3 linked regions of the Bombyx mori genome follow. Each later gene encodes a partner of the first gene's protein in a complex. Links are inferred from orthologs where the notes say so. Each region holds a gene or a part of one and is shown in the gene's direction. Other genes may lie near its edges. The genes, in order: DNA polymerase alpha subunit B, DNA primase small subunit and DNA polymerase alpha catalytic subunit.

Evidence for each region.
Region 2: DNA polymerase alpha subunit B (region 1) and DNA primase small subunit share a complex: the UniProt entries of both Drosophila melanogaster proteins name them as parts of the alpha DNA polymerase complex. The link is inferred for Bombyx mori from reciprocal best matches to the Drosophila melanogaster genes PolA2 and Prim1.
Region 3: DNA polymerase alpha subunit B (region 1) and DNA polymerase alpha catalytic subunit share a complex: the UniProt entries of both Drosophila melanogaster proteins name them as parts of the alpha DNA polymerase complex. The link is inferred for Bombyx mori from reciprocal best matches to the Drosophila melanogaster genes PolA2 and PolA1.

What each region holds. Positions count from the first base shown.
Region 1 is NC_085131.1:8,410,527-8,414,830, reverse strand, and holds the start of DNA polymerase alpha subunit B, read left to right. Parts: upstream 1-1,449; 5' UTR 1,450-1,527; coding exon 1,528-1,603; intron 1,604-1,714; coding exon 1,715-1,967; intron 1,968-2,121; coding exon 2,122-2,167; intron 2,168-2,365; exon of another isoform or gene 2,366-2,442; intron 2,443-2,625; exon of another isoform or gene 2,626-2,705; intron 2,706-4,304. UniProt on the Drosophila melanogaster protein: Accessory subunit of the DNA polymerase alpha complex (also known as the alpha DNA polymerase-primase complex) which plays an essential role in the initiation of DNA synthesis.
Region 2 is NC_085116.1:10,063,880-10,067,965, forward strand, and holds the start of DNA primase small subunit, read left to right. Parts: upstream 1-1,210; 5' UTR 1,211-1,364; coding exon 1,365-1,367; intron 1,368-1,435; exon of another isoform or gene 1,436-1,436; coding exon 1,437-1,693; intron 1,694-1,831; coding exon 1,832-2,001; intron 2,002-2,368; coding exon 2,369-2,567; intron 2,568-3,287; coding exon 3,288-3,495; intron 3,496-3,708; coding exon 3,709-4,086. Other genes in the region: uncharacterized protein LOC101739672, read right to left, coding at 66-269, 416-467. UniProt on the Drosophila melanogaster protein: Catalytic subunit of the DNA primase complex and component of the DNA polymerase alpha complex (also known as the alpha DNA polymerase-primase complex) which play an essential role in the initiation of DNA synthesis.
Region 3 is NC_085121.1:13,176,952-13,181,078, forward strand, and holds the start of DNA polymerase alpha catalytic subunit, read left to right. Parts: upstream 1-1,325; 5' UTR 1,326-1,503; coding exon 1,504-1,519; intron 1,520-1,605; coding exon 1,606-1,803; intron 1,804-2,080; coding exon 2,081-2,262; intron 2,263-2,745; coding exon 2,746-2,955; intron 2,956-3,583; coding exon 3,584-3,643; intron 3,644-4,047; coding exon 4,048-4,127. UniProt on the Drosophila melanogaster protein: Catalytic subunit of the DNA polymerase alpha complex (also known as the alpha DNA polymerase-primase complex) which plays an essential role in the initiation of DNA synthesis.

The sequences.
Region 1 (4,304 bases):
TCATACGAGGTTCGGCCATCAGCCAAAAAAAAAGCGCTACTGATCTCCAGGGTTTGACTGTTTTTCGTTTTGACTTACCAGTTTTTTACACAGTCCATTCGTATTTACAGTCATTAAGGTGTGCGTACTTAAATAAGTGAAGAAACCCCATTACTACCGTGGGACCTGGAAAAACCGGCATAAATATGAGTATAAAATAAACAAACAACCCCCGTGGTCACTACGGTGCCAAAGAACCGAGAATCGCGGTTTTCGAGGCGACAATGGTTTTTAATTTTTATTGCTTAGACGAATGACCGAGCTCACGGCCGACTTGGTGTTAAACGGTCACCAGAGTCTCTAGACATCAACAACGTAAATGACGCCTACATCGAGTTGTGGTTTTCAAGTCGGTTCTACTACCTATATTATTGTGCACTATAGTACAATGACTGCCCTTGAAGTCGCTTGCTGCTGCATTGCTGCTTGTGAAGCAGCAGTAGATTGGTGGGGTATAGCAAAATCTTGGTCATGGATTGTGTGAGGAACTAATGGACACGGGAGGGTATCGGTCTTTCCTGCGAACGATGGGCTGTATTGGTCTCTGCGTAAACTCACCACACTTTATAGACACACAAATACGTCTGCCCCGTAAGTTCCAGAAACCACTGAGACACGTCACAAGCATTAAAAAAGGAGACCAGAAAGGGGCAGAAATTCGGCGACCCGATAGTGGAAAATGGACGTTTGATGGCAAACATAATCAGGAGGGTGGGCGCCAGCCATTCGTTTCAAGTCCTACTATCTACTGAATTTTTAACCCGATTTTACACTACGCAAGCTTCAATGATTAATGGCAGGATATTGGATGGAGCTGAAGTGTCGGGAAGTGCGAAATGGGAAGCGAGAAGAACCCTTGAGGCATGAAATCGCATCGAATGTACTTTAGAATGGTTGGAGCTCTTCGTTGACGGTTACCCCTGCACTATCATCACCATTAACTCTGGCGTTCCAGCATGTTATATGCCCTATTGATGGCTTGTATTAATAAACAGGTAAAATCAGAAGGGATTGGCAATGTATCGGTCATCCATATTTCTCGGAACCTAATTCAGGCGAAATAATCAACAAGTGAGTGAAGAACATAGCTCTTTGAAGCGGGTCTTCAACTGGGGTAAATTGAATTTAATTCGGTTTATGGAAGAGTTTCTTTCTAGTAAAAAACAAATAATATCCTAAAGTAGGTACTGTTAAATTTAAAACAAATGAACATTGTTTCTTGCTTTTTGATTTTGTTAAGTTAGTTGTTTATTAAACCATTATAAACAAAAACGTAAAAGAAATCTTTGCGACGCAGCACAAAGTCACTGATTCGTAAATTAAAAATTTACTTTACAATGACAAGACAAGTTACGACTGATTTGACTGTTCTATGGCAGGTTTTAAAAATTTTCGTTTCTGGCAACCTCTTTTTTGACGCAAACTTTCGGATCGGCGTTGGCGCTCTTTTGCTTCCTTTTCTTTCATTTGCTCTTTCAATTACAGAAAATGGCCTCCGAAGAGTTGGTGACTGAGCAATTTAAATTTTTTGGCATAAACGTTGAACAAGATGTTTTATTAAAATGTAAGTAAGCTTGTTTAACGGTTAGAAACGGTTTGTCTTTTCTGTTACCTGTGCTCGATAAGTTCTATCAATGGTGATTGTAATTAAACATTGACAAATAACATGTTCAAGGTTGTTTCACGAACCATTTTTCCAAAGGTGTAAATTTATGTGAAGAGAACAATATTGATGCTGAAACTTTTATCGAACAATGGATGGCATTCAGTTTGAATTATGTAAACGGTGCTTCACCAAACTTGGAAAACTTAGATTTATTCGTAAGAAAGGAATTTTCCAAGCGCCGAACTAACGCGTCCGCTAAAGAAACCACACGACCAGCTGCCGGTAAAAGTCTTACCGTTTATGGAGCAAAAGCCACTTCGCCGTATCCTTTGACACAAAGTACGTTGAAATTTGCAGTATATTAGAAAATAACTTTATGAAATGTGCTTCTTATATTCATTATGTTTCTTAAAACACTATTGTGTTAGTAGCGTTATTTCAAAAATTTTGTGCAATCATTTCCTATACTGATATAGTCCAGACAGTGAAGTACTGTCAAGTTATGTTGCCGTAACGCCCAAGGTATGTAACTGGATTTTAATAAACTTCGTGTTAGTTTTGAGTTAACGTTTCAAGGTTATGTACGTAGTTTTTTTGTTTCTAAATCTCTAAGCGATGAATCTTAATTCTCAGTTAGTACCTTAATACTGAATTTTGTGTATGTGTTAATAAATCTTTCAGTTGATGAAGAGTATTTGAAGAAAAACGGATCTTTCTCCATTTGTAGTTAATGGGTATAGGTCTAGTATCACCGGGCTGATTCTGTGACTAGATCTACACTCATTGAGTGCTTATGGATTCATCTTCAGAGCATCTGACTTGTATCAATATTTTAAACATACATTTCATAATCTACCCTACAAATTAAATATAAATGCATTTTGAAATCATTATTGCAAACAAAGCATCAAGAAAGGAAGTGGATAAATAACAACTAATTAAAATGGAATGTGCGTATTAAAAATCAACCAGTGACTTGATGATATTTGTGGGCGAGTTTGCTTCTGGTTCATGTTTTATATTGATCATGACTAGATCCATACTCGTCTGCAGCCATCAACTCATTCTTCTTATGAGTAAGTTTTATAGTCTATTTGTATCACAGACATTTAACATAAAATATTGTTATTGTAAAATTGGAAATACATCACACAGAAGCATTAAAATAATACTAAACTAAGTTAAAAAAATGACTTGCATGTTAATAGTATATTCTGGTAACCATCAAACAGTCCAGCTATAAGTAATGCTGAATGTTTGAATCTAACTACTGTAAAACGATGAGTATCTCACAAATGTGAAAATTTGTACTGCAACCAGTCCGGTACAAATATTGTTTATCTTGTTTATAATTTTTTGTAAGTCTTAGTTGCCACAAATATATATCTAATTTTTTATTAATATTAACGGTGAATGTTTAATCTAACAATTGATTTCTTATAAAGGTTATGTTTGAGTTCAGTTTTAAAATTAAAGACAATAACAGTGAAAGAGTCTGCTAATTATGTACCAATTGAGACTACACGGCTGTGGTTATATGCTCTTGGTATGCAGTTGCTTGAGAGTACCTACACTTTTTTTCTGCTTTTGAGGTAGCTGTGCATATATTCCACCTGATGTTGAGTGTTCATTGTTGCCCAAATATTAGAAAAGTATGGGAAAGTATGGTCTTGGGACTTTTCAAAACATGTTTAATACAAAACTATGTCGCTAGCGCTCATAGAATGCCAAGGAGGGGTACTCACTATAGAGCCAGATTTTAAGTGTCAATAATGATCACTGGAATCGCATTAGGGAGGAATGGAGTGGTTCTAAGTAGGTACATGACCAAACCGTTCCGACGGCGGGTGGTACAGTTAGGGAACGTACCCATACTACGTGACCTATTTTTTTTGTTTTTTCGACCTCCCTCCCCACGGTGATCACTCGTAGTATATGCCAAGACCCCCCCCCTCTCCCCCTTTAGTTTTCACGTAGTAATTCATTATGATTTTTAATCATTACATAGGCAAAAATTGAAAAAATAAAAATTGGTTCATACTCGTCTTTATTGCACAAGACTGCATGCACATTTAAATTACTAGTGAATTATGTAGTGTGAGTTTACAAAGCGCTAAGCACTGTGCGCTATATTCAAATATAGGTCGAAAAAATACGAGATTTCTCTCACTAAAATCGACTACGTGACAAAAACCTGAGCCACCCCCCCGCTCCTGTGACTGACCGTAGTATTTTAAAGACTCCGCTCCCCGCCCTAAACGGGACACGTACTATGGGTACGTTCCCTTACTAAGGAGATGACAGAGCCATCTCAGAATATTCCTTAGACCACTCCACATGGTTCATACGCTACAAATACCGAAAGAATCAAAGTAAAATCATAGATGCAGGGGCTACAAAAGAACTGAGATAGAGCAAACGATCAAAACTGTTCTTTTCTGTATTGGGTTAAACGAAAAAAGTGGATACTTAAGAACCTCGGCACAGATATAGGAGCAAACTAATCCGCGGGGCCTCTATGCTTTTACAAAAAGAAGTATTAGCCCGAGCTTGAACTATCGTTTCTCTCTGTTAAAGACTACCAACATTTTAGAAGCCATCTTAGCTTAACTTTCCAAACTACTAATACTGTACGTCATTCGAAACAAGTATCCCGAGA
Region 2 (4,086 bases), on another chromosome or scaffold:
TTTTAATATTTTTTTTTTTAATTCTTTAATATTCAGTATCTAATATTAGTAGTATAGTAACTTACCTTCTAAAAATACAATTACTAGAAATATAGTTGAGGTCATCAAAATAACAGTTACAGAAAAAAACGTAGATATAAGCAGTAAATTTAATAACCAGGCTGCTATTAAAGTCATTGCCAATGGCTTTCTTAGCAACGATTCGATCAATACCTTTGATGCATTAAGAAATTTTTCCGAAGTCTTGCAATACGAATTGTGCAGTGAACCTGAAAATATAGACGAATAATTATTTTCGTAAATTAAAGTAAATACTGTTGGTGGTTTAAACCACAAACACATGTGAAAAGTATTTTAAAAGATCCATTACTTATTAAATTAGGGTTTACGGTTATTTTTTAATGTTCCTACTTACGAAATGACATTTTTACTACTATTAAAAAAGCGGTGTCTTTATTAATTTCCATATTGTTTTAGTAGTCAGAATTTCAGCAGTTTTGACATCAATAACTAAATCAAGATTCAATTCACACACAAAGCTGAATAAAATTTAGGGTAGGTAGTTGAAAAATGTTTACGGGTAGGTTAAAAAATTTTTTTTACATTTGAGTCGACTATTATCAAAGGCGGCAATCTGACTTTTGGACAATGATTGGTAAATCAGAAAAACGAATTATTGACTTTGTATTCCATTGGCAGTCACAAAACTCTTCGGAACGACATCTTAGATAAATAACAGGTTAACTATTAACCTTTATTTAATGCAGGTTTTGAACCGTATTCTTTGAAAGAGACGATTATATTCAAATAAATCTGTATTGACATATCAATAAAAATTTTTTGTCCAAATGTACAGATTGCCGCCTTTGTTAATAGACGACTCATTTAATCGATTCTACAAATTTTCGGTCTCGGATTCCTAATTAGTTTTTATTAAAGGATTTAATGACTTGGTAACTAAGACTTTTAAGTCATGTCTTATTTTAATTTATATTCTTATGTTTATGAAAAATGATATTAAGGAGTGAAATGAAATGAAGATGATTAATTTGAGACATTAATCAACTGGGATGAAATTAAATGAAATGAGATGAGATGGTATGGAATGAAATATAATCTCAGTAAAATGACTGAGATTATAGATAGAGAGATATCATCTCATCTCATTTCATTTAATTTCATCCCAGTTGATTAATGTCTCAAATTAATCATCTTCATTTCATTTCATTTCACTCCATATTGGTTATCATTTTTCATAAAAATAAGAATATAAATTAAAATAAGACATGACTTAAAGGTATTAGTTATCAGGTCATGAAATCCCTAAAAAAAATGTCATTATAGGAGTTGTTGTTTTGGTAAAAATGGTAAGTTCAAATTCAAACTGATCTAAATAAAAAACTAAACTTCTGATTAATATCAATTTAATTGTACAGATTGGCGAACACAATGAAAACATTCTATCTGATATGCTACCCACTTACTATGCCAGGCAATTTCCGCAAAATATATTCTGTAGATGGCTAGCATGCGGTAGTTCGCCTCAACCGCTCTGTAACAGAGAATTATCATTTACTTTAGCTGACGATGTCTACCTCCGTTATTTGTCGATTTCGCATCAAAAGGATTTACAAACCCTTCTTCAAAAGAAATGTCCACACAAATTGGATGTTGGAGCAGTTTACAACACAAAGTATGTTTTATGTCTAAAAGTTTGTATGAAGTTAAAATATCATGCTTGAATATTTAATAAAGTAAATTTCATTTATTAGCATTTAAAAAGCAATATTACACTCTTTTATTGTCACTTGGTATTCTTCCGTTATTTAAGGCCTTCTGTAGGAAGACATGACGCTGTAGTGATATCGCGAGAACTAGTATTCGATATAGATTTAACAGACTATGATGAAATAAGAACATGTTGTCAAGAAGCTAGAGTGTGTGAAAAATGCTGGAAATTTATGGTTATTGCATGTGAAATCATTGATAAAGCTTTAAAAGGTAAATACATGATTTACTTTACTGAGCTACAGACCATTAAAGATTCTTCTATATTTCTATATTTATTTACCACACCACACTCATTAAAATGTAACCTATCTCATGCATACTTGGGGTGGCGAAAAAAAACTACAAAACCATATGTCCAGCAGAGGATGTTTGTGGGCCAATAGAAAAAAAAAAGAAAACCAAAACATATTTACACTGTAGTAGTTAGTTACTTATATATTTCCACTAGTGAATGGATTTTGACTTCAATTATCCACATCTATAGTATTATTTTCATGATACAAGTGATTCATGATTCTTATAATTGACAAAATGATTGATTGAATTCAAATTCACATCCTTGACTTACTAATTTCAGATGACTTCGGGTTCCAAAGCATCCTGTGGGTATTTTCAGGTCGGCGTGGTATTCACTGTTGGGTATCAGATTATGAAGCCAGAACTCTCGATAGTCCAGGTCGAGGAGCTATTGCCGATTACCTTTGTTTAATCGTAGGTGGTGAAAACCAAAGTAAAAAAGTGCATCTTGGCAATGAAAACTTACATTCCAGTATAAGGTTATATCATTTTTTTTTAATTTGATATTCTTACATGAGATTTACATAAATATTTTTTGAAAATGATAGATGATCATAATTTTGTTGATAATAATTTTGTTAATTACTTCTCGCAAAATTAAAAATTACTTTTATGAGTCGATCTACCCATCCAAAGAAGATTAATAAGAAAATACTATTATTTTCTTTCATAAGCTGCTGGAGCACATTACCAGAGTTTTGACCAGTAAAAATCATTACTAAGGCTAAGGGAAAAGTGATTATGATGTAACACTGTATTATTATTGGTTACATGTGAAAATAATTTACATTGGTCATGCTAATCAGAATTTAGAATGCTTAGAATGTTACCTTGATATAATGTCACATATCAAGATCAGGACTAGATTTGACACAAAGTCCCTTTTATATACATACCTTTATATACTTTACAAGTGTATACAGTAAGACATCACCCCCAAACTTATAATTTTAATACCGCTGTCCTTATCATTTTCACTAATAAACTTTTACACTTTATAATTTTATACTACACATAACTTATATAACACTCCCTTGAGGAAGTTACGCATTCCCTTGTATATTTACACGTTTCATGTTCGATCTGATATTCATTTTCGTAAGGAGAATGAGTTAGGCATTAAGTTTACTAATATATAAAATACATGAAGTGTAAGTAATAAATAAATTAAAAATAGTATATTTAAATACTTGTTCCAGGCGTGCCTTAAATATAATAGACAAATACTTTGAACAATTATTACAAGATCAGGAATTTTTAGCAACAGATAAGCTAAACTCATTTTTGAAGTTGATACCAGATGATGCGTTAAAATCACAGGTTGAAACAACTTTGAAAAAAATGCAGGAACCATCATTGAATAAGTGGAACACTTTTATAAATATTTATGAAAATTATTGCAGAGAGGTAAAAAAATAATAAAATTTTGACATAAAGAAAAATTTGGTACTTCATTAAAAATTAGAAATTCATTGAAAAGTCGTTGGCATTTGTTTTTTAAACTGCTTAAATTTTTTTCCAAGGATACAGTTCAAGATTAACCTACATATTAGAAGTTGTGTCCTAAAAAATATGCATATATATGTATGACTCTATTTTGTCATGTTTTTCAATTTGTAGAATGGAAATGTTATACGAAAAATAAAATATCTTATAGAAGAAATAAAAATTCAATATTGCTACCCCAGATTAGATGTTAATGTGACAAAAGGTTTCAATCACTTGCTCAAGTCTCCATTCAGTATACATCCGAAAACTGGAAAAGTGTCTGTTGTTTTCAAGTCAGCAAATGCAAAGAATTTGAAGATCGATGAAATACCAACAATATACAGTTTATTAGATGATAGTGTCGCCGAAAATAACCAACATGAAACTAATATGAAAGCGGCTGTTAAAATTTTCCAAGAACTTGTATTCGCTTTGGAGAAAACTGAAGCTATGAGAAAACGCAGTGATGCCAGTAAGACTATTTTAGTTTTTGTTATCTTGTTTATGTCT
Region 3 (4,127 bases), on another chromosome or scaffold:
ATTTGATAATTCATTTTATTTATATTTGTGTAACACAACTGTAATGTGCAACACACGTAATGAAAAATATTCTATTCATTTTATACAATGAATGAAATTATAAGGTCACATACATTATGTACATTTACGCAGCAATTTGCACATAAATGCTTTCTGTTATTGTTAGTATAATTGCTTTTTCCCATTTTTGCTACAATCTTTAAGCTTTGCATAATTATATCAATGCTTACCTCTTTGAATTTGTAATCAGGCAGCATTTCATAAACCACGTCTGACACCATATTAGTGTATCTTCTGGTATTTTGTTTGACTGCCTCAGTCAAATCTTCATTCATCTCATGTAAATCATCCAAGTCAACTTCAAATGCTATCTATAATAAAAAATTAGTTTTTGTTATTAACGTCTTCTTGCTTCCTGTGTGCCCTAAGCAGGCAGTCATGATGTGTATTGAGGTTTAGTTTAGTTTGATTTCAGTTACATAAAAATTTCGGTAATTTAAAGTATAATTCATACAACAAGCTATAATTTTTTTTAATCCTAACTTTCTGTTATCCTAATAACTGTATACACATAAATAAACTAATCTTCATTATCTGCTAATAATCATTATCTTGATCCTGCGATAGTTTACAATAAGATAACAATTATACCTTATAGTAAAACTGGAAAAATTGTCCCAGCAATAAAATAAGTGAAATTATATTATTATATCATTCAAAGAACTAGAAACTACAACTACCCTAACCTCAACATAGCATTGTATTTTTATTATTATTATGAACCGAACAATCTTACCTGTTCTCTGTGTGCAACTTTAGTAAGTTGTTCAGCATATTTAAAATACTTTTTTCCTTCATCATCAGTTTGACAAAAATCAACGAAAAAGTTCTTGAAAGATTCTGTAAAGGTTTATTGAAATTATTTAATCGTTCATAATTTTGGTAATATGCTCGATCTTCTTCAAGTACCTTTATCTGCAGTGTAATCACGCATTGCCATTATGTTAGAAATATGTTATTCGAATAATTGCTGTCTTCAAATACTAATCACAAATGTATCACCAGCACCGATCACAAGCATCACAACAAATGTTTTTTGACAGTTACAAATTGGCGCGAAATTTGTGAAACTAAGAAGATTTTTATTTCTAAATGGATAGGTAAAGGGAACAACTCGCATATTAAAAGTCTTCTAAAAAAGGGCAAAAACGAAATCTACGACATGCAAATTTCACACCATATACCTTATCCTTTAGTAGAACATGAAGACTTTAATTAATTAATTTAGAAAAGAGATTCGACTGTATAGTATGATATCCTCGCCCTTTCTGTTGCAAAACGGAATACAAATATCAAATGTCAATCACAGCTGAAGGCTTTCAAAGTGGATACGCGCCAAAATATCTAAAAAGAATTTAACCTAATCAAAATATTAGTGTTTCTTGTAAATGTAAATTGTTTTAAACTTATATATGTGTACAAAAGAAAAGCTATTAAAAGAGAATGGCCGATTCAATAGGTACTGCAATACTTAAGTCTGTATCTAGGATGCATTTAGTTTCGAAACTCCTTGAACATTTAACAAAATGTATTTACTGTTTGTAGCTGCTCAGCGTGCGAAGCGACAAAAAACAGACCGACACGGTCGATTCTCGGCGTTTGAGAAGCTAAAACAATTAAAAGGGAAAGGTGTAAAGCATAAGTACGATGTGGATGTGCTTGAGAATGTGTACGACACTGTTGACGAGAAAGAATACACAGAAAGAGTTCTACAGCGACAAGAAGACGATTGGATAGAAGATGGTAAATCCATATTACAAATCAGTACATAATTTTTAGTTTCAACTAATAATATTAACTAGACTTTTCAAAAAAGTTTCACATATAAATTTTCAAAATCCTTATTTATTAAATGTTTAAAGTGACTACAAACCGAATTGAAATTTTCAAGTGAGAAAACATCCATTCTGTAAATTAAATGTGCATTAGTGACACAGTAATGTTTGTTTTCAATACTGGCTATACTTAACGAGTGAAAAATATGTATTAGAAGATTCAACTAATGTAACAAACTTTTTAGATGGTACTGGCTATGTTGAAGATGGAAGGGAGATATTTGATGATGATGATGATGCTTATGAAGCAACAAATAGTAAAGATACAGGCAGAGGACAGAAAAGGAAGGCCAAAGTTGCAGCACAGTCCTCAGGAAAAGGGAATATACGAAACTTAATTGGTAACATGCCTAGTAAGAAAAAAGAGGTTTGTTATATTTCATTTATTTAATTTATATTTAAGAATGCAATCCATTGATATCTATGATTATAATGTTTTAGATAGGATATTTTAAGTACTAATTAGTTCTTATGTATCGGGGACATCCTTCTGATAATTTTAGGAAAAATATAAAAACTATAGTCTTCTATAGAGTTACAGACTATGACAAATATAATTATAGTCTAGATTCCAAGAGAAAAGTGCAAAAACTTAATAATTTTTTGCATAATATAGATCCAACCTTATATTTCTGAAATAAAGATTAATAAAAAAAAATATTTTTATAACCTGTAATCCTAGTAAAAACAGGGTTAATTTAATTTGGTACTTGAGCAACTTTGACTACTTCTCTAAACTAAATTCCCTGTTTAATTGCACATATTATCAAATAATTGGCAACTTGGTAATGTTTGAATCCTAACTTAATTTTTTATTAGTAATTTAATATGTTGTTTTTCTTTCTTTCAGGATGTAAAGATTTCAGAAGATAATATTTTATCTGATATTATATCTGATTTGGATGCTAACACTGCATCAAATGTAGTAAAATCTACACTGCCTATAACTAAAACTAACATTGTGGATACAAGTAAGAGAGATGCACAAAACTACTTCAAAAGTCTTTCTGCTAACGTCAAGAAACCTTCTGTACTAAAAACATTCAAGGAAGAAAAGGAGGCATGTATCATTTTTTCATTTGTATCGAGTTATTAACTGTTAGTCTAAGGGGCTATTCCAAATACTTGGAGAATTTGCCAACACTAGCCTTAGCGCGAGCAGTTCTTGGCAGAATTCACCACTAGATCAGAATCACGACCTATTGAGAAGATCTAGCAAGAAACTCAGCCAGCTGTGTCACTGGTTAATTCGGTTGTCGTTATCGACGAGTTCGACTAGGTCCGGTGCTTGAAGAGCAAAAAATGTCAAAGATATGTAAAAAGTATGTAATTAGCAGTGACCAGAATAAGAGAATTATCATATCCCGCCGCTTTGTCGAAATAGCGTTTTGACGATACCTAAATTAGTTACGTATTGGTTCTAAATTTAAGTCTTCTGTGCTTTTCCTGTAACCTGATTGGATAATTATTTATAAAAGTATAAATGTTGTAGTAGCTGATACTGAATAGTAATTTATTCATGTAACACAATTTGAAAAGTAAACTTCGCATTAAAAGGTCGTCGAAAATATATAACGAAATGTATTTATGCAGAATGTACCCATTGAAAATCGTTCTCTCTACACAAAACAGATGTTACATTACTAAAATAATTTGCAACAGCAAGCTAAAACTTGTTATTATTTCAGACTGAAAGTATTGAGCCAGACACATCTGCAGTACAGTGTGAAAAAAATATGGTAAATATGGTAAAGTTAAATATTTTTTAATTGTATTTTAAATATCCTTGATATTATTGATGATGACAGATTACCTACCTAATGATTAGTGGTTTCTGCCCCTTGTAGACATCAGCAATACCAGAGCTACACATAGCCAATCTCCTGTGGACACTTTTCGAACCTTGTTTAAAATAGAACATCATAGCAATCCGGTTAGCATGGAGGGTGAGAGAGAGCCAGATGATATCCAGTGCTATAGAAGAAACAACTCCTTAGTAATTCCATAAAACCTTCGATAATAACATGGAGACAACAATCATTCTATTAACTCTATTCTATAATTTATTACATGTAAAGTTTGTTTTTGTTTAAATAAAGTGTAACAGCCACAGCCTACAAATATTAACAAATATATTATTTTAACCTCACAGATAAATCATGTGGTAAATGAACCTGCAAATAAGAAAATCAAGAAACCAGAATGGAACATTGAAAAAGAAATCAAGCAAGA